3 linked regions of the Alligator mississippiensis genome follow. The protein of the gene in region 2 purifies or fractionates together with the protein of the main gene of each other region. This does not show direct contact. Links are inferred from orthologs where the notes say so. Each region holds a gene or a part of one and is shown on either strand. Other genes may lie near its edges. The genes, in order: E3 ubiquitin-protein ligase TRIM39-like, FASN and HIF1A.

Region 1 (7,214 bases), on a different chromosome or scaffold from region 2:
ACACTCTGAGTGTCTCCCCTGGGGTGCCTACATCCAGCCAACCCCCTCCCTGGAGCCCATTCACAAGCCTGGCATAACTGCTGTCACCACCTGGACTCAGATCTTTGTTAGGTCTCTGTGCCACCTGGGGTACACAGACCCTAAAGATCTTGGGTCTGCTTAACCCACCGTGGGATTTGGGGGTGCATCTTTCATACAGAAGGAAAGTAGAAAATTCAAGTCCACCTTAGCAAGCCTAGCAAAGTGAGCTAGCAGGGGTATCCCTTCTCTCTTAAGCACACACAGTGGGGCGTGCTAAAACAGGTCAATTTATTTATTAAAGAGGGATAAGGTGAGAGAGGGATGCACACAGCAGCATACAGAAAGAAAACCCATTTTGAGCAAATCAATATAAGCTGGTTAACCTTTTGATATGCGACTAGAGCACCTCAATCTAAGTTCCTCACTAGATTTCAGGTAAGTTACTCACATCCATGTCCAGGGAATTCTGGAGGCCCAGAGCATGATTCAGTGACCAGAAGGTGCCTCTCCCCCGCTATACTGGGCGATTTACTCGGGGGGGGGGCTGGGGGCTGGGTGATTTCTCCACACCTTGCACTAGACAAAATGTATTTCTTTTTTAAAATGTTATCTCTTTGGCCAAATTAGTTCTCAATCCTATCAACTAAGCAGAGCTCAATCATTCATGGCCATGTGGTGCTACCACCAGCAAGTACTCTCCCTTGCAGACACTTCAGGTTGGGGCTTCAGATAATGCCAAATCCATGGCAAGCATCCTATGTGCAAGCCACAAGCCCAGAGGCCTTGGAGTTCAGGTGCCCACTAATTTCATTTTTCCAAAAGGCCAAAGGAGCAAGCTAAAGGCAAGCCCAAGAGCTATTCCTCATCAACTTAAGTTTTCTGTTCAAGATCTTATAGTTTCATACCTACTCGGGTCAGAAGGGACCTGAACAGATCATCAAGTCTGACCCCCTGCCCTGGGCAGGAACGAGTGCTGGGATCATAATACCCCAGCCAGATATCTGTCCAACCTCCCTTTGAAGACCCGCAAGGTAGGGGAGAGCCCCACCTCCCTTGGGAGCCCATTCCAGAGTCTGACAGCCCTAACCATAAAGAAATACCTCCTGATATCCAGGCTGAACCTGCTCTCAATCAATTTGTGGCTGTTATTCCTTGCTATCCTGGGTGGTGCCTGAGGGAACAGAGCATCAGCTATTTTCCACTGGTCCCCCCAGTGAGTTTATAGATGGCCACCAGGTCCCCTTTCAGTCTTCTCTTGTGGAGGCTGAATAGATTCAGGCCCTTTAGTCTATCCTTGGAGGGCCTGCCCCGCTGCCCCCTGGTCATGCGAGTGGCCCTTCTCTGGACCCTCTCGATGCTGGCCACATCCCTCCTGAGTTGTGGCGCCCAGAACTGGACGCAGTACTCCAACTGCGGCCTGACCAGTGTCACATAGATGGTGAGGATCACCTCCTTGGCCCTGCTTGTGATGCATCTGTGGATGCATGACAAGAAGGTGCGTTAGCCTTCCTGACTGCTTCCTTGAATTGGTGGCTCATGTTTGTCTTGGAGTCAACAATGACTCCAAGATCTCTTTCAGCAGCTGTGTTGTTGTGAAAGGTATTCCCCAGCCTACCGGTGTGTTGCTGGTTCCTTCTGCCTAGATGCAGCACCTTGCACTTGTCTGCGTTGAACTCCATCCTATTCTCATCCACCCACCTCTGTAACCTGTCTAGATCTAGTTGGGTTCTGTCCCTCCCCTCCCCTCCAGTGTGCCCACCTCGCCCCACATCTTTGTGTCATCACTGAAGTTGGACAGTGTGCTTTCCACGCCCACTCCAAGTCACTGATAAACATGTTGAATAGCACAGGCCCGAGGACCGAGCCCTGGGGAACTCCACTGCCCATATCCCTCCATGACAAAACCGATCTGTCCACCACCCCTCTCTGGGTGCGACCAATGAGCCAATCTTTGCATCGGGAGGCATTTGCAGACTCTCTCAGAGGTCAGCTTGCCTGCAGTGCAAGAGATAGACCTTCAACTCAGCTACACTAAGTCATTCACAGACGAAGAGAAGGGGATTGCCTTTGCCTGATAAGAACAACCACCTGAGCTGAAACCAATCATGGGATGTCTCCTGCCAGGTAAGTGTGTGTCTGTGCAATGGGCTTTCCTAGGTCTTTGGTGTCACCTACCTGGTAATTGTTGGCAGCCTCCTGGATGGGGAGCACTGTGTGACTGTGGTGAGCCAGGGACTCCCTGCAGATCAGACAGATGGCATTTCCATCCTCCTCACAGAAGAGCTTGAGTTTCTCCTCGTGCTCCACACAGTGATTCTCCGTCTGCTCCTTTCCTGGTTTCACACTCTGCTCTTTAATCTTCTCCACCAGGTTTTTGAGCTGAGTGTTGAGCGGGAAGCTCCCTCTCTGAAATTCTGCTCTGCAGCTGGGACAGGGGACAGGGTCATCTGAGTCATCGACACGGTCCTCGCAGTATCGGGTGATGCAGACTTGGCAGAAGTTGTGTCCACAGTTTATGGTCACCGGCTCCTTCAGGAGGTCCAGGCAGATGGAGCAGGTGGCCTCTTCAGCCATGTCCTGTCCTGGAGGGTCTGAGGCTGCACGGCCCCGTCTTCTGCTGATTGTTCTTTGTGCTCTGTGCAGGCTGGGCTTGTCCTGGGTGGTGCCTACCTGAGAACAGAAGGTGATTTCCTCTAAGCGCACTTCTAAGAACAGAGAGGAGGGGCCATGGGGGCAAAGGGACAGCAAAAGGAAGAAGTAACCTGAGTGGACAGAAAGGAGGGATGAGGGCAAGGAACAATAGAGGCAGGGAGGAGAAAGGGAGGGGAGACAGGTTGTTCACAGGCAGGGGGGCAGAGATGAGAAACCACCCCTGACTCACAAACACGCAGGAAACAGTACACTCCATCAGTGCGCTGTGCAGTGCCTTCAACATGATGCAGGATTTTTAAAATTTCAATTTATTTTAATTTCCCATCCTGCAACCAGTGACTCCAAACATGAATTTCCCAGTTGTTGCTCTAATTCTCACCCCTTAAGTCCCACCTGTGCCAGGCCAGCTGCGTGCCATTCTGCCCAGAGGTGGCACAGGTTTGGAGATTGTGCTTAGGACTCACAAGGGCAGAAGATGATCACAGGTTCTCATCAGGCCTGTGGCACAGGGAGCTACGGAGACACCACACAGTCCCTTAGAGCCATCCTGACACTAACGGGGTCCATCAGCCTTCCCAGGCATTACAGAGAGCTGGGTCCAGCATCCACACAAGGGAAGTGAGCCCAGACCTCAGGCCAGTGGGGCAGAAACCAGCCTGTCACAGGGCTGTTCCCTTCATTTCTCCCCCGTCAACCCCTGCATAGCTGTCCTCACCTTATGGGACCTCTGCCAGCTGTGATGCCCAGGACCTGAAGGCATTTGTTATCACCCCAGGGGCACCCCAGCTCTGTGGAAGTGGAGCTATCCGATAGTGCCTACAAGCTGGATGAGGGGTTAGCAATCCTAGCACAGGTTCCAGAGTGTGACACGTAAAGGCATTGTGCTTGGCATGTGTGCCTCAGGGCAGACAGCAGCGAAAGGGCTGGTTTGGCACTGCCACAAGAAGGATTGGGCCCATCATGGCTCCCCGGCCATTTGCCCCTGGCCCACCAGCATCTTACAGGTAGAGTTTGTGGATGTTCTAGCACTCTGCCCAAAAACATTGCTGACCCCTGAGCTAGACAGAGAGCAGCTTCCTGCAGCCTGACAAGCCAGCCAGTAGGTCACACACCAAGATCAGGGATCTCAAACTCCCCACGCACTTGGAGCAGCAGGTGCCCAGAGAAGGAAAGAAGGGTTTGAGGTCCCGTTACTGTAAGGAAAGCTTGATTGTGAACTTGGGGTCAGTTCCTCCACCATGGTACCTGGCATGGCATGGAAACTGCCCCTGTTCGTGCCCTAACCACAGGGTAGATGCAAAGAAGCTTGCTCCATGTTCATGGAAGCACTCAAAACTCACAATAAAGTTGTCTCATCTGCCCCATTTCTGTTTCTGGGCAAAGGGACAGCTGAGCAGTTCACCTGCCAACAAGTACGCAGTGAGTAATAGGCCTTGGATTGATAAGAGTGAGTTCTTGATTAAACTTCTCTGCTTTATTTCTTCTGGGTCTAAGGTTCGCAGCCCATCCCTTTCCTGCATTCAAGATGGTGAGTTCAGTGGTAAATGTGGTCAACTCAAGGCGCAAGATCAAAGGTGCTTTTTTATCAGTTCAATAGTGAGATCATAGTTTATTGCCTAGAAAAGATGGTGTGAGAAAATGAAAGGTAAATACATTATATAAATATTATCTATTATTAAAATATACTTGAATACTAGCTAATCGCCCATCATGAAGGATGGATTTCAAAGGAGTGTTTACATGGCCGGCCCCGAAGTGTGGCCCTGCCTCTACCCATTCTGCTTCCCCCCACTGCCAAGCCACAGCCCCGCCATGCTTGCTGCTGCCCTTCACTCCCAACCCACTCACCCTGCCCTGCCGGTGCCCCTCACTCACCGAACTGCCGTACCCTGACCCCCGGGCCATGATGGTGCCCCTCACTCCAGACCTGCAGTCCTCTGGCACTGCCAGTGCCCCCTGCACTCCCAACCCACAGTCCCCCATCCCCGATGCCCCTCACTCCCAACCCACGGCCCCCTACCCCCACCAGCCCTGCCAGAGGGCCCCAGCTGTCCCCGTCCTGACCAGGATGGAGTGCGGTGGCTCCGATTCATGCAGGCGGTGGTGGAGGGTGTCCATCCCCAGCACAGGCTGAGGGGAGAGGAGGGGAGGCTAGTGGCATCCCCTGCCCTGGGATGGGGCTTCAGTGCCCTGTGGGCAGCCTGGCCAGGGCAACCCCCCTCTCCCCCTTCCCCGCGCAGCGACTCCTGGCCGCTCAGCCCCTCCGAGCACAGGCACCAATCTCTGCATGGCCGCCCAGCCATGAAGTTTAATAGTTTCATAGTTTCATAGTAGCTTGGGTCAGGAGGGACCTGAACAGAGCATCTAGACTGACCCCCTGCCACAGGCAGGAATGAATGATGAGTTCCCCGCTGCCCCCTGCCCTTTCCCTACTGGAGAACAGGCCACTCTCCTCTGCCCCCACCCCATCACAGCTGTAGCCCCCGATCTCCCCGCCCTGATCATGTCTGCATTTCTGCTTTGCTCTGGGGGTGGCAGAGGGAGGGGATCGCAGGCAGCAGGGAGCAGTGCATGGGTCTGCTGCCTCCACAGCTGCAGGCAGGTCTGTGTGTGCTCCTGCTGCCTCCAATCAGGCTCTCCCTGCTCCCACCCCCAGAGCAAAGGGAAATCCCAGACAGCCCACCTGGATGGAGATCAGAGGACTTAAGAAGAGCAGGGATATGTCTGGGGAAACCCAGATGTATGGAAACCCTATCTCAGCAGTGCATGCACACAAACAAAAGCATTATGGACAGACAGAAAGATAGACAGACATCATTATATTGGAATTTTATTAATATATTATTGACTCTTCATTATTATATACACCTTTCAAAGTGGGGGGATGGACATGATGAGACTCTTCTCATTCAGCACCAGCACTCTCAAGTTGTAGGGCCCTAGAAGACGCCTTCATCTCTCTGAACTTTTCCTTCTCATGCTTGCACAATGCAACCCACACCACACAGACACCAGGTCACAGCTCTGTCATCCATACTGTTGGAGCATGCTGTGCAGATATCTGAAGAGAGGTGCAGCGTTTTGATTTGCGTCATTACACTTTTAATACTGCCCCAGCCAGGAAACCTTTCTGCTCTTCTTGCTTGGGAACAGAGATCAAAGCTCTCACAGCATTTGATTCCCAAGCCATCCAGAAGTCTGCAGATCTTAGCAAGAGGATACCTAGGAATTAAGAGCTCACTAGGTCCCTGCTTTCAGCTGTCCGAAGTGTAAGTGAGGAGATTGTGGCAAAAAAGGCAACCTAATGGCAAGCTAATGCCTAATGTCACTGGGGAGCCAGGATCTGGGGGAAACATCCCCTGACACGTGGAAGTGCAGATGGCACCAAACAAAGGCTCTCACCTGGAGCTTCTCGTCCTCCGCCTGCCCCAGCTGAAACCCCTCGGCCAGGGCCATGGCCTGGGCACACGTCTCCACGCGGCACCCGCACACCCAGCTCCGCATCTCCGGGGGCAGGATGGCCAGGAACTGCTCCAGCACCACCAGCTCCAGCATCTGCTCCTTGCTGCGGCACTGGGGCTCCAGCCAGCGCCAGCACAGCTCCCGCAGGTGGCTGCAAATCTTCCCTGGGCCCTCAGCTTCCCGGTAGCACAGGCCACGGAAGAGCTGGCGCCAGGGCTCTGGGGTGGGGAGCTCATCCCGTGCTGCCAGCTGTGGGGTCGTGGAGGGCAGCTCGGCCTCACAAGGGGGCTGCATGGCCTGCATTGCGTCCTGTCTCCAGAGCTCTTGGTGCTGGACCGGCTTCGGTCTGGACGACACGAGGCAATTCTGCACCCTCAGCCCCACCTGCACACCTCCTGGGTCCTGCTCCTCCAGCTCCTGCCAGGAAGGGAAGGCCCATGGCTGCCACAGGCTCCAGTGCAGCAGCCACGTCTCCCCAGCAGGGATCTCACCGGTCGGGGGCCTGGGCTCTCGCTCCCTGTGCACTCATGCACGGCTCCTGTCGGCAGTATCCGGTCTCCAGGAGCACCTGTGGGAAAGGAGACAGGGGAAATCTGACCATGGATCTGACACCCAGGACTATAACCCTGCCCCAGCCTGAGGTCTGCCCAGCCCTGATTCTCCCAACTGCTAGGGTTACAATATTGATATCTTGGAAAGCACTGGATTTCCAGTTGAATAATGGCTTTTTTCTGCATCTCAGCAGAGCTGCTGCCCGCAAGGAAGAATGATGTATTAAAAATAGCCTTGCAAACGTTTAGGCAAGCAGTTTTCTAACAAGGTTGTAGTGTTGTAAAGTACAGAGCCCATTGCGTAAGAAGAAGAAGATGCAGCCCACCAGCTATCATCAGGAGATAAATTAGAAGCAAAACCTTGGAGAGGCTGCTAAAGTCAGCAAGAAACCAGGAAGAATCAGCAAGTGACTGAGAAAAGCTGAATGCATGGCTTTACACTTGGGTTCTTAGCAGAGAGGCATGTAAATGAATGACATGCATAGGCAATGCCATGGTAATGAGGGCAGAGCTTGTGATGGGAGGTGT
Region 2 (7,970 bases):
ATTTATAGAAGCTCCACAACAAAATCCTAAACGTTGCCTTTCCCAGTGCCCCTTGGAAAAGACAGCCATAGTTTCCCATTGTCCAGGGTTGCCACCACCCACTTCAGACTTGCAGAGATATGGATCGTACATGCCTTTTTTCTTCTTAAAGACATCTGTGGTAATTTTACTCAAATTGTAATCCAACTAACTGGCTCTCTTACTGCACAGCCTACCTGAACCTTTCATTCTGCTTATGAGGCCAACCCCAATGGGCCATTTATCATCTTCTCCCACAAACACCTTGGTACCCCTTTTTTCCCCCATATCATTTCCTTCTAATTTGAGTCTGTCAAACCATTTATCTTCCTTCATTCAAATACATCCACAGTGCATTCTCACAATGTCCATGTGATATGAATCAATAACACATATATTTTAATTTTTTTTTTTTACTGGAACTATCAAGAGGTGCAAAAACTTAAAGTGAGAATTCACATGTAACTCTTCTTCCTCACTTCAATCTCTTCCTACTGTTTATTAAACTTGCTCATTCGCATCACTATATACTATTGTACCCAAATCTTCAGAGGACAGACCATGACTTCATTTGTGCTTTAAGGTGCCATTCATACTTCCTGGTCCTATAAAAATAATAAATGATAACATCCACTTAGCCTGTTTCCCTAAATCTCTGAAATCAGTACAGTTTCTCTCACAGTGCAATGCTATTCTGTGTTGGTCATGTCAGATAATCCTGTCCGCATACACATGGGGATGCACAGAACAATAACTCAGACAAGCGTGTCTTTCCAGTGGTGGCTTTTTAATCTCTTAAAATCCAAGAGAGATTTTGAGATCAGTCAACCTTATAAAAATATCCCTGCTCCAAAAGGATGCCACAATTTAAACATCATTTCTTTCAACAAAGACCAGACAAATCTCATTTTTAGGGTGCGGGGCTGTGGGAATCAGGGTGGAAGTGACAAGCACAGTAGTCAGACAGAGCTTTGCCTTTTTATGATGCGTCAAGTAATAGCTATTACTAAAGGGAAGAAGCTAGACTACAGGACTCAGTGGTCCGATCGTTTTTTTAATTCCTTTGACTCAGTTTTCCCATCAGTTTTCTTAGTCTTCGCTAAGAAAAGAAAAATTAAGTGAATGCTCTCTTTAGATTAAAATTGGTAGTTGGATATATCTGGAGAAGGCATTTATTTACATTTTTATAAATGTTATCTTTTCCAGTGGAGTAGGCAAAGATTGAGATTTTCTACTAGCAGCAACATTACTGGAAGTGCTTATTGGACAACATAACAGAAAGGTCTATCCTTTTTATATCTCCCTTTTACTCTTCTCAGCTGTAGCTGGTCCAAATGCATTTGGCTTTTACCACAGCTAAAAATATGAAGTAACGTAATTCTAATGCAGGAATGAACAAGCACCAAGCTTATTATGTAAAAAAAGGAACAGTACTGTCATTAGTTCAGAATCCATTTATCTCAAAATATGTCTAATGCACTGAACAGTTTCTGCACTGCTATATAAGAGTCTATGGTGCCAGCCCATGTACAGGGCGATATCAAAACACTGTCATAAGTGCCCTTTAAAAACCCTGACATGTGCTTCATTGGCTAAACTTAGCAATACAATCTTTACACAAGACCTTTGTAACAGTCCAAAGGGACCAAAAATAAGACCTTCCAGCTCACTGCCTCGCTACTGCCTCCTCTTAAATGTCAGTTATCTGAAGTCATAATATATTAAAAGGGGGCTAAGGAGCAACAAGTTTAGAATATTTAAATCTTTTATTTTACTGAAAATGTCATTCAAGTCTACAATTCCAAAATTACTATATAGCAGGCGAATTGTTTTCTCAAACATTTGGCTATTTTAACAATACTAGCAAGTTAAGAGCATTTGTAGCCTCTAAACTATAATTAAGTTACCTTATCCACAAAACGTGAACAAGTCAGTCAGTGGAGGGTCGACGGGAAAGTGTTGCTCTTGCCCAAGGACCCAACACTGGGATCCGCTCACGTTGTGAGATACCTTGGGGTCATACATGTGTACACGGAAGAGAAAACACACCTTCCAGAAGCTGCTAGAAACTATTTTTCCCCCAGTGAGCAACTGCATGTCCCGGAAAGGCACCCTAAACGAGTACAAAAGTATTTGCCACCCACAGCATCGATACTCACACGGTCTGCAGGTATCAAAACCTCAGGAGGCGTTTCTAAAGAGGGTCGAGGAAACTGCTATGGACTTTTGCAGAGCACCTGCGCCAATGTCCTGGGTCTCTAACACTCGTGCTGCGAACTGTAGCACGGTAACCAGTAAAAACGTCTGTGTGGACAGAGCGAGGCGTCGGGTCCGGTACTGCTGCACCGCCCTGCAGCTCCGACCCAGGAGCTCCCGAGCCCCTGCTCGCTCGGCAGCGCAACGCAGCAGCAGAGCGAGGCGCGCAGGGGCAGGCCCGTCGCCTCTCCCGTGACGGGCAAACTCTCGTCCTCCCCAAAGGCTCAGTCGCCACCCGCACCAGCCCCACATCCTTCACATCGCGAGACGCCACGCCGCGACACTCGCGCAGACACACGCCTCGTCGGGCAGCGACTGCGGAGCCCCTGCTACCAGGCCAGGCCAGGCCAGGCCAGGCGTGTCCGAGGCAGCTGCCTGGCATCCAGGCACGGCGCCAGGGCAGGCTGGCTGTGCCCTCCAGCGCCCTGCGGAGCTGGCCCCTGCTGCGGGCCGCGGGCGGGCGGGCGGGCCGTGCTCCCGCGCCTGCTACTCACCGCCTCCTGACGGGCAGGCCCGGCACGGCCGGCCCCCTAGCGCGGGGCAGCAGGGCTCGGCCCGCACGAGCACGGGGCCCTCGGAGCGCCCCTGGGCCTCGGCGCGGAGGGGCCTCCTCCTCCCCGGGACGTGCGCGCAGACACGGTGCAGCGCAGAAGCGCCTCGGGCGTGAGCGCCGCCTCGGCCGCACCGGGACGCGGCCCTTCCCGCGGCTGCGGCGGGGCGGCCTCCTGCTCCAGGCCGCGGCGGCGCGTCCCGCCCCGTCCCGCCGACCAGGCCGCGTCGTCATGGCAACGCCCGGGCCCCTGCGCGCGCAGCCGGCCGGCACCACGTGACCTGCGGCGGAGGAAGCGCCCGGGCCCGGGCGGGAGTGAGGCGCCGCCCGAGCTGCCCGGCAACGCTGCCGGCCCCGCCCCGCCCCGCCCGCCCGCCCGCCGTTTTCTCTGCCGATGTGGAGCGGAAAGCCCGGCTCCATTTCTGCCGGGCCGCGAGGAAATCAGCGCCAGGGCGACGGGCAGCCAGCCAGCCCGGGAGAAGGGCGAGGGGCCGGCGGGAAGGCCACGAGGCACTTGCTCTACTTGGGACTACACCGGTTTCCTCGGTGGCTCCACTGGCTTCAGGAAACGATGCTGTGAATAACAATAAACCCTCGAGCGCAAGGAGCTGCGGTCCAGGCCGCTTACCCTCGTTACCGCCATAGTGGTCTAGGCCATCGTTAATGCTGGTTTAAACTCGCACGTGGCAGTTGTGTTCAAGTCTATACAGATACGAACTGATGCTCGGGCTTCCTGTGAGGGTAGACGAGGAGCCCGTTCCCGCAGGCGCTGGCGGACGCGCGGCGCGGCGCGGCACGGCTCGCCGGCTGCTGCGGGACTCAGGTCGATTTTACATCGGCGTGAGTCAGCAAAACTCTCCGGGCCTCCCAGGGTGCTGCGTCCCTGCGGGCAGACGTACGCGTCTGGGAGAAGCAGAGGACGTCCGGCCGCATGAACGCGTGCACGTTTTCTTTTTCCTGTGAGAAAAGGGGTCAGGAATGAAGAGCAGAGAAGCGCTATCCAGTCAGGCGGTGCTTAGTGCGGGAAGCACGGCTGAGGCAACAGTGGCTGCGGGCCGTCCCTCGGCTTCTGCGTGCTGGCCCCAGCCCTGCGATGCACGCGCCTGAGAGAGCAAAACATGCAAATGGTTTCACAATGGAGAAGGGTTGGGCCACGGATCGTAGATACTCCAGCATCCAAATGCAAACATGATGTTAGTGCAACATTCAAATTCAGGTAAGTCTGAAGCATCTGCTACTAATGTTTGTCTCCTAAATTGGACCATATACTATGGGCTTGTATTTAACATGTGTTACCGTTAAATGGATTTACATTGTGCATTTTTACATTGCTCCATGTATTTTCTGTGTCTCAGAAGACAAGACCCCATTATCACACTTGGTTAGAAGCAAGGCTAAGGTGTTTGAAACCTCAGTTCTGAATTTATTTGCCCTTTCTGCAATAAAGATCTGACGGGGGCCCTTTGTACTGCCTGGCACGTGAGACTGAAGCTAAAAATCAAAGACTGGCACTGTATCAGTGAATGACAACTATGAAATAACGTAATATTTTTTTCAGTTTTAGCATTACAGATTTAATGTTACCCAAAGCATAACACTCACTATACATATCATTCTAGTGTGAGAGGGGGAACATTTTTCCTTTAAAAGATGACTGTTAAAAGCTTAATGAAGCCAAATATGTACAAGCATATCAAGCACCACCATAAATCTTAGAAATAAGAACTGGAAATCACCTAAACTCCAAGGAGTGGTGGGATTCCACTGGAGCAGCTGCCCCTTAAGACTCCTAAGATACACTCTGCTTCTGCAAGGCCTGGAAGAAGGTAGTAGGTACTCCTAAGGTAGAAGGTACTCTTAAGATACTCTGCTTCTGCCCGCCAAGACTCCTAAGATACACTCTGCTTCTGCAAGACTTGGAGGAAGGTCGTAGGAAGGACCCCAGCCACATGGAACTCCTCAGCTCCACAGGAGCAAAGCTGCAGCCACGTCCTCCTGCCAGCCTCCACCAGCCCCCTCTGAAACAGTGCTTCAGCCACTGCTATTCAGGGCAGCAGGGACAGCAGCATGCCTAAGAGTTAGCTGCCCAACCACACTTTGAGAGGAAAGGGACAATCTCAGCTCTGTACCTCCCACTGTGTTTTTAAGGAAAGCAATATAGGATCAAACCTAGGAAATTCACAGAACTCCTTGGAGGAATTAAAAATATGCATGTGAACATGGAAAAAGAGTACCAGCTGAAGCATGACTGTGGTGTAAGGACTCAGTCAGAAGGAGAAAAATGATAAGTGCAGTTTTTCTCATAAAGGTAAGTGTTGTCAACCGGCATTGATGTTTCGCCTCAGCCAAAAAGATGCATGATCTGGGCTTGAGTGTGGCTCTAGGATTGTGTAGTTTTTATGGAACTGACATGCTTTAAAATATATATATATATATAAAACAGCAAGGAATATGTCAATGATCAATCAATCAACAAAAGTATGAATACCAGGGCTTCAAACATAAAAACAATACCTGAAGACCATGCTGAATACAGAATATAAGGGCCAAATCTTGGCACCCACCCATACACATATCATATTTGTGAGGAATCTAGCAAAAAACAAAACATTTGCAACCATGGGTAGCAAAACTACTTTTGAGCTGCAGAAGAGGCTACTTTCAAGTGGTATCAAATGCAACACAGTACCTGGTTTAGAGTTATGATTCTAGTGTGGCTGTTTTAGCGTGCTTGCCATGTGCTTGCAGCGATGACATTAAGGGCAGAAAATGGTGTTGCTATTTAGCTAACCCTGGAAAGCAGTTTCCAAAGGCCTCTCTGGACACCTTTTGTCAGTTCTGAACATTCCCTCTGTACAAATCAGTGACAAAACCTTTAATATTTAAAAACATACAATATCTTTCTGCGTATCGTGAGTCACTATCGATTCCAAGCGTTTCCGAGTTACCTAGATTCAATCCAGGTTTCTGTAAGCATAACACCACAGGACTTTGCTCACAACACTAGCTTCTCGTTAACTGCTGAATGTTAAATGCTGAATCAAATCCAAGAATTTGGTCCTGGTCTTCAAAGCATCCTTTGAAGGCTCCACTTAGCCTTGCTTTTACCCACCAGGATGATGTTTGCTCTCAGCATAGGGCATTCATCCTGGAATAATAGAATCATCAACTACAAGGGTGAGACTAGGGCTTGTGATGATGAACTCACTTCTGAACAGCAAGATGGCAATGAATCTTACCACCATCAGAATGAAATGGAGCCCAGATCCCTAAGCTTTCCCACAGCTGTAAACTCTAGCTCCCAAACACCTGCAGCAGGGTTGGAGCCTATGTATGAGCTTTGGTGAGGATGGATTCTACCAGACCTGATAGGATGTGGTGTTCTCTTTCTTCTGACTCTTACACGGAAGTCCTGGACTTCAGCAAAGCCGACTTTGACAAGCTCAGGAGGCTTGTCAGTGAGGCCCTAAGGGACCATGACCACGGAGAGGGGAGTTCAAGAAGAGTGGTTGCTCCTCAAGGGAGCAATCCTCAATGCACAAACTAAGTCTATTCCATCTTGGAGGAAAGGCAGCAAGAGGGCGCAGCAGCCCCCCTGGCTCTCCAGGGACCTAGCAGACCTCCTGAGGCTAAAAAGAAAGTCCTACAAAGGATGGAGGATGGGAGTCATCTCCAAGGAGGATTATTTTGCACTGGTCCGGTCCTGCAGGGAGCAGACCAGGAAAGCCAAGGCTGCAACTGAACTCCAAGTAGCTTTGAGCATCAAGGACAATAAAAAGTCCTTTTTCAGATATGTGGGGAGCCGGAGGAAAAGCAGGGGCAACATTGGACCCTGCTGAACCAGATGGGGCAACTGACAACTGACGCCCGGGAAAAAGCCAACCTATTAAATAGGTACTTTGTGTCGGTCTTTAATCAGTCCCATGGGACGCCCGTGCCCACTACAGGGCCGGGAAGTCCGTGTGAGGGTGATCCCCTGCCCTCCACTAATGCTGACTTCGTGAAGGAACATCTTGAGAAGCTGGATACCTTCAAGTCAGCCAGCCCTGACAATCTTCACCCCAGGGTACTCGAGGAGCTGGCAAGCATCATAGCCCAGCCTCTAGCACGGATCTTTGAAAACTCTTGGCACTCTGGTGTCGTGCCCGAAGACCGGAAGAAGGCCAACGTGGTGCCTATCTTCAAGAAAGGGAGGAAAGTGGATCCGGCTAACTATAGGCCCATCAGCCTGACTTCTATCCCGGGGAAGGTCTTAGAAAAGTTTATTAAAGAGGCCATCCTTAATGGACTGGCCGACGCCAACATCTTAAGGGATAGCCAGCACGGGTTTGTTGTGGGTAGGTCTTGCTTGACCAATCTCATTTCCTTCTATGACCAGGTGACCTATCACCTGGACAAGGGAGAAGAGATTGATGTCATATATCTTGACTTCAAAAAAAGCCTTCGATCTGGTATTCCATGATTGCCTCTTGGTGAAACTGGCCAATTGTCGCCTTGGGTCCTCCACGATCCACTGGCTGGAAAATTGGCTCCGGGGTCGGACCCAGAGGGTACTAATTGATGGACGTCACTCATCGTGGTGTCCTGTGACCAGTGGGGTCCCCCAAGGCTCTGTCCTTGGACCCATACTGTTCAACATCTTCATTAACGATGTGGACACTGGAGTCAGAAGCGGACTGGCCAAGTTCGCCGATGACACCAAACTTTGGGGCAAAGCATCCACACCAGAAGACAGGCGGGTGATCCAGGCTGACCTGGACAGGCTCAGCAAGTGGGCGGATGAGAACCTGATGGTGTTCAACGCCGATAAATGCAAGGTTCTCCACCTTGGGAAGAAAAACCCGCAGCATCCTTATAGGCTCGGCAGTGCTATGTTGGCTAGCACTATGGAAGAAAGAGACTTGGGGGTCATCATTGACCACAAGATGAACATGAGCCTGCAGTGCAATGCTGAGGCTAGTAAAGTGACCAAAATGCTGGCTTGCATCCATAGATGCTTCTCAAGCAAATCCTGGGACGTCATTCTCCCCTTGTACTCGGCCTTGGTGAGGCCGCAGCTGGAGTACTGCGTCCAGTTTTGGGCTCCACAATTCAAAAAGGATGTGGAGAAGCTTGAGAGAGTCCAGAGAAGAGCCACGCGCATGAT
Region 3 (6,959 bases), on a different chromosome or scaffold from region 2:
TAAAGGGGCAATTTAAAAATCAAATTTAAAGCTGGTAAAAAAGCAAATGAGACCAACAGTAGCTTCAGATAAAATTACTGCCCCAAACCAGTTGCCAATTTTGTGGTTTTTACTGAAACAAACACCTTTTCTTTCATTACGTTAAAGCCCCATCTGCGACAGAGGAAGTTGAGTCATTGCCTGACTGTGCCTGGAAAACAGCCTGACTGTAAGTTTCATCAAAATACACTAAGGCAGATTTAAAATGTCCTCCTCACATTTATTGTATGCTTCACAACTATAGCAGGTGAAAAATATCACACCCTGCAGGAAAATATCAAGATGTAGCCGAAGAAATCTCAATACCACCAGTGACGTGTGCCAGCTCTTGGCTCATAGACAATGTACCAACAAAATGAAGAAGGGTTAAAATAGGGAAAGGGAAAAAGGGAGGACCTAGGGAATTATAGACCAATTAGCCTGACTTCAGTATTTGGGGAAATTACTAGAGCCAATTATAAAAGTTAAATGATGAATAACTGGAGAGGATAAGCACCAGTAGCCAATATGGATTTAAGAAAAAAATCTTGTCAATTTAACTTCCTTTTCTGACAGGGTAAAACATTGTGTGAATACGTGGAATTTGGTGCATTTAATATACCTGAACGTTAGCAAGGCGCTTGACATGTCATTCTCATAAGCAAGTCGGAGAAATATGGGCTAGTTATGGATCCACCTAACGGCAGTTCTAATTGGTTGAATAGCTGCAAGCGAAGCATAGCTATTAATGATGTCAGGCTGGCAAGGAGCCTCAAGTGAGATTTCCACAGGGTCCTGTTCTGGGTTGGATGCTGTTTAACATTTTTATTACTTGGATGCAGGAATACAGAATCTCATCAAAATTTGTTGGGAAGGGTTTCAAGCACTTTTCAGAATAGGATTAAAATTCAAAAGGATCTTGATAAATTGGAGAACTAGCTTGGAGAGAACAAAATGCAATCTGACCCAGACCAATGTAAGGTGCTACTTGTAGAGAAAAAAACCAAATGCAGATGCAGAACGGGGATTGGCTTGGCAGTAGCACTGCCAAGAAGCATCTGAGGTTACAGCAGATCAACCTCAACAGGAATCAGCAACTTGATTAAAAAAAGGGGGGGAGGGGGAGATTTGGGTTGTGTTCAAAGAGTTATTATACTACATTTAAAAGAGGACAGAAACTGGAGAGTGAGTGATGGAGGTAAGGCAGATGAAAAGCAATGTTGAAGAAACTAGGTATGTTTAGTTTGAAGGAAAGGAGATTAAAGGGTGGGGGGTGGAGAAGGCTGATAGCCAATTTTCAAATATTTGAAGGCAGCTATTTAGAAGATGGAGAAACACTTGCTCTCCCCTGCGACAGAGGTCAGGACAGGAGGCAAGGTTTAAATTACAGCAAAGCAGGTTTAGATCAAATCCCAGGAGAAAACGTCCTAGCTGCAAGACCTGCAGAACAAGAGAATAAATTGCTTTGAATCTCTTTCACTGGAGGATGTTTAAGGGATGGCAAATAATGAATCTGACCAGAGGTTTGTAAGTGATGATCCTTCCCACCTCTTCTAGTCTTACAATTTATAACGGTTTCTATTTAAGACAGATAACAGGTAGCAAAACGGTATTAAAGGGAGAATTCTCATAACAGCAGATTGGCCTGTTACGCTTCCTCGAGATTGCTTACTAACAGTTTTCATTGTATGGTTACATCCCTGTCCTACTTTCAGACTGGAGACAGCTGTAATGTAAGTTGTATGTTGGCGCCCATTCCCTACGCAGCCCAACAGGACCACTGCAGGACACTGCTGGAAAGCGAACGCAGACAGCGCGACGGACAAAAATCACAAGTCAAGTCCGAAAACTAAAATTTTTGCCATTTTAATAACTTCTGGTTTCATGTGAACTGGTAGCACATGACTGTTTTCTCTTTTGATGGGGGCAAGACTGGATTCAGAGTTAAGAAAAAAAATAATTACAGATTTTAAAATATTAATATATTCTCACCAAGATAGTACGCAGTGAAGACTGCTACTCAGAGGCATCTGGAAAGCTTAATAGATATCAAATGAGGCAACTAACTGGATAATTCTTATAAACTGCTTTGTGTATTAAAGAACTGGCATGTACAAGGCTCTTTAAATACACCTTGTTATTTTTAAAGGAAAGCATGAATTAGGTATCAAGTCCCTGTATTACAATTTTGCCTCGTATTTTAGACTCTTAACTCAGTGGATACTTTTGCTCCTATAATGTGTACCATATTGCCTGAATCTATAGGCTTACTAATATATAGGTACATCCTGAAAAGACAGCTTTATAAGCTTGACCTTTAAAATATGACCTGAAAATATGGTGAGCCTATGACCTCACACTTTAGATCTTTTAACACTGGTTTAACATTTACTTCTGCAGTCCTGGTTCAAAGATCTTCCTTTTTGAAGCGAGATTTGGGAGTGAGGGGAAACCAGGCAGCATTCAGGACTCTTCTGACCCTTTTCTTGGGGTATCCACATTTCTTAGATGGGGGTATAACAAGTTGTGTTGCTTGGGAAGGATTCACCCCAGGCACCAATATATTTCCTTTTCTATCGCTGAGTTTCCCTATTCTGAAAGAAGGTCTAGAGCTTCAGGAACAGCAATTCCAGCTCTATCAACTTGCTTCTCAATTAAAAAAAATTTTTTTTAAATCTCTGAAGTTGAAGGCATTACCTGGAGTGAGATGGAAAATGCCAATTTCTCAAAGACACAGGCAGGCAATAACTTGCACATGCCAAGCCTGTATCTGCATGCAGGTAGTGAGAGTGGAACCTAATCTTGCCGGATGGGCCTCCTCCCCACTTCTTCATTCCCTGGAAAGCCTTGTACCCAAATGAGCTTTTCTTCAGAAAGCTTGAAGCGCTACTGAGCTTTTCACACATTTTCATGGCTTTATCTTATTTCAGCTTATTTGGCAGCAGCATCCAACAGAATGTAAGCACGCTTGAGAAATGATCTCAGAAATTGTTCACAACCACGGTTTCATTTGAAGGCACTCTGAAAGGTTTTGTTCATCTGTAACACCTCCACATCTGTAAACGTGCCAAGAATAAGAATTGTATAAGACAAAACTAAACACTTATAATCTTTCTATACTGAGAGAATAAAAAAGACCCCTGTCTGAACCTTGGGAGGAATACCCAGTGAAGAATGGGACAAAATCTTCAGAAATGCCCAGGCTGTTGGGGAAACAACATATACTCTTGATTTCCTATACATCTATGGAGTGGCAAGCATTTATTTCTGTTTCGCATTTTTGCCATGCTGAAAATTGCAGAGAGAAACTTAAAAGCTGGCCATGTATGACAAGGCATGGAAACCACGATTCCATGACCTTACTGGTATTGTAAAGCCATGACCCAATGCAGATTTTTATATACGATGGCTAAATAAGCATCAGCCAAGTTCCAAAAGTGAGTTGCATAGATTCGACAGCAGTTACGCTATTAACTGTAGGGATTGCTGCAGTTAAGCAAAAACGGAGACAAAAAGGTATTAGAGGCTTCCACTGCATCAAAACAAAAGGCATGATATAATTTAGGGAGCAGAGTTTAAGTAAAATACGTATGTATAATATTACTATTGGCAATATTAAAGTGCCCTCTGTTAGCATTCAATTAAAGAACGTACTCGTTTTAAGTCGCACAATGTTTGGTTATAACATTGTTTGGCCACTGCCTCCTAGTAGGTAACTACTGTGATATAACTGGATTCGCTTAACATTGTTTCACTTAAAGTCACGTTTTTCAAGAACATAGCTACAACATTAAGCAAGGAGTAGCTGTATTATCAAACTAGTTTGACATTTAGTTCTTTGGACTTTTGCAAGGTTTCCAAGACTTGCTGAAAAAAGCAGCATTAACTCTCTTCTAAAACTCTTGGAATCAAGTTGTTCAGACCTGCTGATGTAAAAATACTTATCTTTTAAAAGCTACTCGTTAACATGCTAATTATTACTGTAGTAATGGCAAGCATTTCATTCTATCTCCTGAAAAAGTCATTTGTTTCCCCTCCCAAATGCAGAACAGAAATATCCATCTAACATTTCTGCCTTTTTTTGTATTACTGAAAGTACCATGCCCATCTATTAAGCACTTAATATCATATTAGGAATCCTTTTGTTCTTGATATACTTAAACTCTTTTATTGCCTTCATTTCTGCTGTCTACATGCTTCTCTTTATATATTCTTTTGCTTCCCTTATCAATTTTCTATACTACATAGTTTCTAATTGGTAGCAATTGATAATCATTTTTATCCCCCCCTTATTCATATGTTGTTTTTGTAGTTGTTTCCACGTCCGCTTCTAACCAAGCTCCATTTAAAACAACCCCCCTCCCCCCACAAAACCAGAACAAACAGTGGAGACTTCTTGCCTTGACTCTGGGATTCTGGTTGTTTGGACAATGTAGGAAAATGATCTTAAACAGTCTTCAATCAGCACTGGTATTTTTTCTTTGAAGTCTTTCTGCCTACCAAATGGGCTCTCAGTGGCTTTAAAACTGATATGTTAGGCACTCTAGAAACTAGCCTTTTTCTACATTATTGGCTTGGATTTTTTCTACAGTATTGGCTTTGCTTGCAAAGACAAATGTATAAATCAAGTCAATCACTTGTACCTAGGTAACCAAAGGAAGTTCCACTAACATAAAATTCCCCCATATGGGTGCAGCCCTTTGAGACAGAAAAATTAATCCGGACAGCATTAGATACCTAGCTTGTCACTAGTTGAGGGATCCTTATAATTCAGCATTTCTTGCAGCTCATTACAGATAGCAGGAAGGATGGCTTAGTAGTCAAGATACTGGCTTGAAATGCGGGAGACCCAGTTGCCGTTCCCTGCCCTGACACCCTGTGTGACCTTGGGAAGTCACTTAGGCTCCTTCCGCAGGACGCAGGAGGGAAGCATGCTGGTTAGAGATTCCAGCTTGCTTGTAATCCGCACTTCCACGCATACGAATGCAGTCAGGACCTCATTTTGCTTTATGTCAGAAGAGGGCTGTCCAACTTCCAAGTGCCTGGGGGCCACACACCCCTTGGTCTGCACCAGCAGGGGGCCATGAGCCCTAGGGATCACATGCCCCTCTGCTGCACTGTGCACCCAGGTGCCTCCCAATGACAACAAGGTCATTGCTTTCAAATTTGCTCTTCCCTTCTATGTGCTCAGGGAGATCAGGGTCTGACAGTAAAGAGAAAGGGGCTGCCATGGGAATAAAATGGGGGTGGGGGCAGGAAGCATAGAGCAAAGGGCCTACTTTCTCCACCCCCCCGCTCTGATTTATTTTCCCTACTGTAGCAGTGGGAAGGGGACAAATTCAAGGCAAAACATCACTAAATAGATTCTACACCTGGAAAATGTTGTATTTTCTATATATAGAATGTAATTATTGGGGTTGTAATCAGGGTTGTCTTCAAGTAAATATGGTAAGTCTTAGGGCAAATGACCTACTGCAGCAGTTCCCATCCTGTGGTACACATACCACCAGTGGTACATGGACAACCTATCAGTGGTACGTGTTAACAAATGTATTAGAATTACTTTATATGACAAAAATGTGCTGGTAGTACTTAAGGTTGTGTCATTTTAAATTGGTGGTGTGCAATCTGTCAAGAGTTTGGGAACCACTGGCCTACTGGATGAGAAGATGTGTTAAGCAAATGCAAACACCCTAGAACACTTCCTTGTTATGGCGCACCTTTAATTAGTCTTTTGCTTTGATGAAGAGAAACGACAACAACCCACCAATGAAGTCCTTGTGGTAAACAGCACAGTGTAACAGTTATTTCTCTGTGGCTGGTCTTCAGCCACGCACAATGTGTTTCCCAAAGTAACTACATAATATTTGAGTTGGTCTAATAAAAGATATCGGATTTACCCAAAGAACCTTGTCCACCAGAGTAACTAGGCTTTTAGGAATTAAATCAACAGTAAAAGTTACAATAATCCACTTGGGCCCTATCTTTAATAGGAGTGTCTAAGAACAATTAATTATGTGAGTCAGGCATGTGGAGAGGTGTGATCCCAAACCCACACAGTTATGTCAGATGAACTCCTTAATACGCATGCAGTTATACCAATAAAACCGAACTCTTACTGGTGTGGTTTGTTTGCTCAGGTGGAGCTGGATGTTTGCTACACCCGTACAAAGCTCAGCCGTGCTGGTATCCATGCTATAATAGGGAGCCAGAGGGCTCCTATTACTGAAGTTGCAGTAACCTGAGCTGGCTCCGGACAGACAGGTAGCTAATACTCTACCAGTCAGCAACCATCAGACGAACCTGTAGCGACACTGGTTGTGGCTGTTCTGGGGAGTAACTTCCCAAGGGAACAGTTGCAGGGCCACAGGCAGCAGAAAGCCCAGCGCTGCAGGCAGCTGAACGAAGCCCTGACAGGGAAAACAGGCTGGCCAGTAGCAGTAAGCTACCTTGTCAGACTAACCAGCCAGCAAGCCCAGAGACACCGGGGGGGGGGGGGCAGGCACACAGCTGACAAAGCCTGAGCCAGGGAATCCGTCTGGCTGAGCAGGCTCCAGGGAAAGGAGCTCTGCCCCAAGATGGCTGGAGCTGGAGCCATGGACTGAGACCCTGCAAGTACGGGGACTGATAGCTTATAAGGAGCTACGCCCAGGATAAGTGCTTTGCTATGCAGCCAGCATACTCAGAGCTTTGGGTCACAGTCTGTGAGCTAATTCTCTTGTTATTGGGCCGCTCGGGACTGAAGGGGAGGTGGAGGTCCCAGCAGGGCCTGAGGGGCACGTGACTACTTTGAGCCTTGCCAGGGGCTGGGCTCAAGGTGCAGACGGGGTGACCAGGCAAAACATTGCAGCCTAGAACAGAGCCAGGGGGCCCAGGAAGGGCGAGAACCACGGCCCGATATGTGAGACTAGGGGTGAAGCCCAAGAAGCCAGACCCAGTGC

Evidence for each region.
Region 1: the proteins of FASN (region 2) and E3 ubiquitin-protein ligase TRIM39-like purify together in Homo sapiens (affinity purification with western blotting; 3 studies listed by BioGRID, with this or other methods). This does not show direct contact. The link is inferred for Alligator mississippiensis from reciprocal best matches to the Homo sapiens genes FASN and TRIM21.
Region 3: the proteins of FASN (region 2) and HIF1A purify together in Homo sapiens (affinity purification with western blotting; 3 studies listed by BioGRID and IntAct, with this or other methods). This does not show direct contact. The link is inferred for Alligator mississippiensis from reciprocal best matches to the Homo sapiens genes FASN and HIF1A.

Annotation. Positions count from the first base shown.
Region 1 is NC_081824.1:485,826,155-485,833,368, reverse strand, and holds the start of E3 ubiquitin-protein ligase TRIM39-like, read right to left. Parts: upstream 3,092-7,214; coding exon 3,067-3,091; intron 2,727-3,066; coding exon 2,197-2,726; intron 1-2,196. UniProt on the Homo sapiens protein: E3 ubiquitin-protein ligase whose activity is dependent on E2 enzymes, UBE2D1, UBE2D2, UBE2E1 and UBE2E2.
Region 2 is NC_081831.1:197,491-205,460, reverse strand, and holds the start of FASN (fatty acid synthase), read right to left. Parts: upstream 3,053-7,970; 5' UTR 2,769-3,052; intron 2,323-2,768; exon of another isoform or gene 2,178-2,322; intron 1-2,177. UniProt on the Homo sapiens protein: Fatty acid synthetase is a multifunctional enzyme that catalyzes the de novo biosynthesis of long-chain saturated fatty acids starting from acetyl-CoA and malonyl-CoA in the presence of NADPH.
Region 3 is NC_081825.1:297,678,573-297,685,531, reverse strand, and holds the start of HIF1A (hypoxia-inducible factor 1-alpha), read right to left. Parts: upstream 3,049-6,959; 5' UTR 2,931-3,048; coding exon 2,716-2,930; intron 2,172-2,715; exon of another isoform or gene 1,734-2,171; intron 209-1,733; exon of another isoform or gene 148-208; intron 1-147.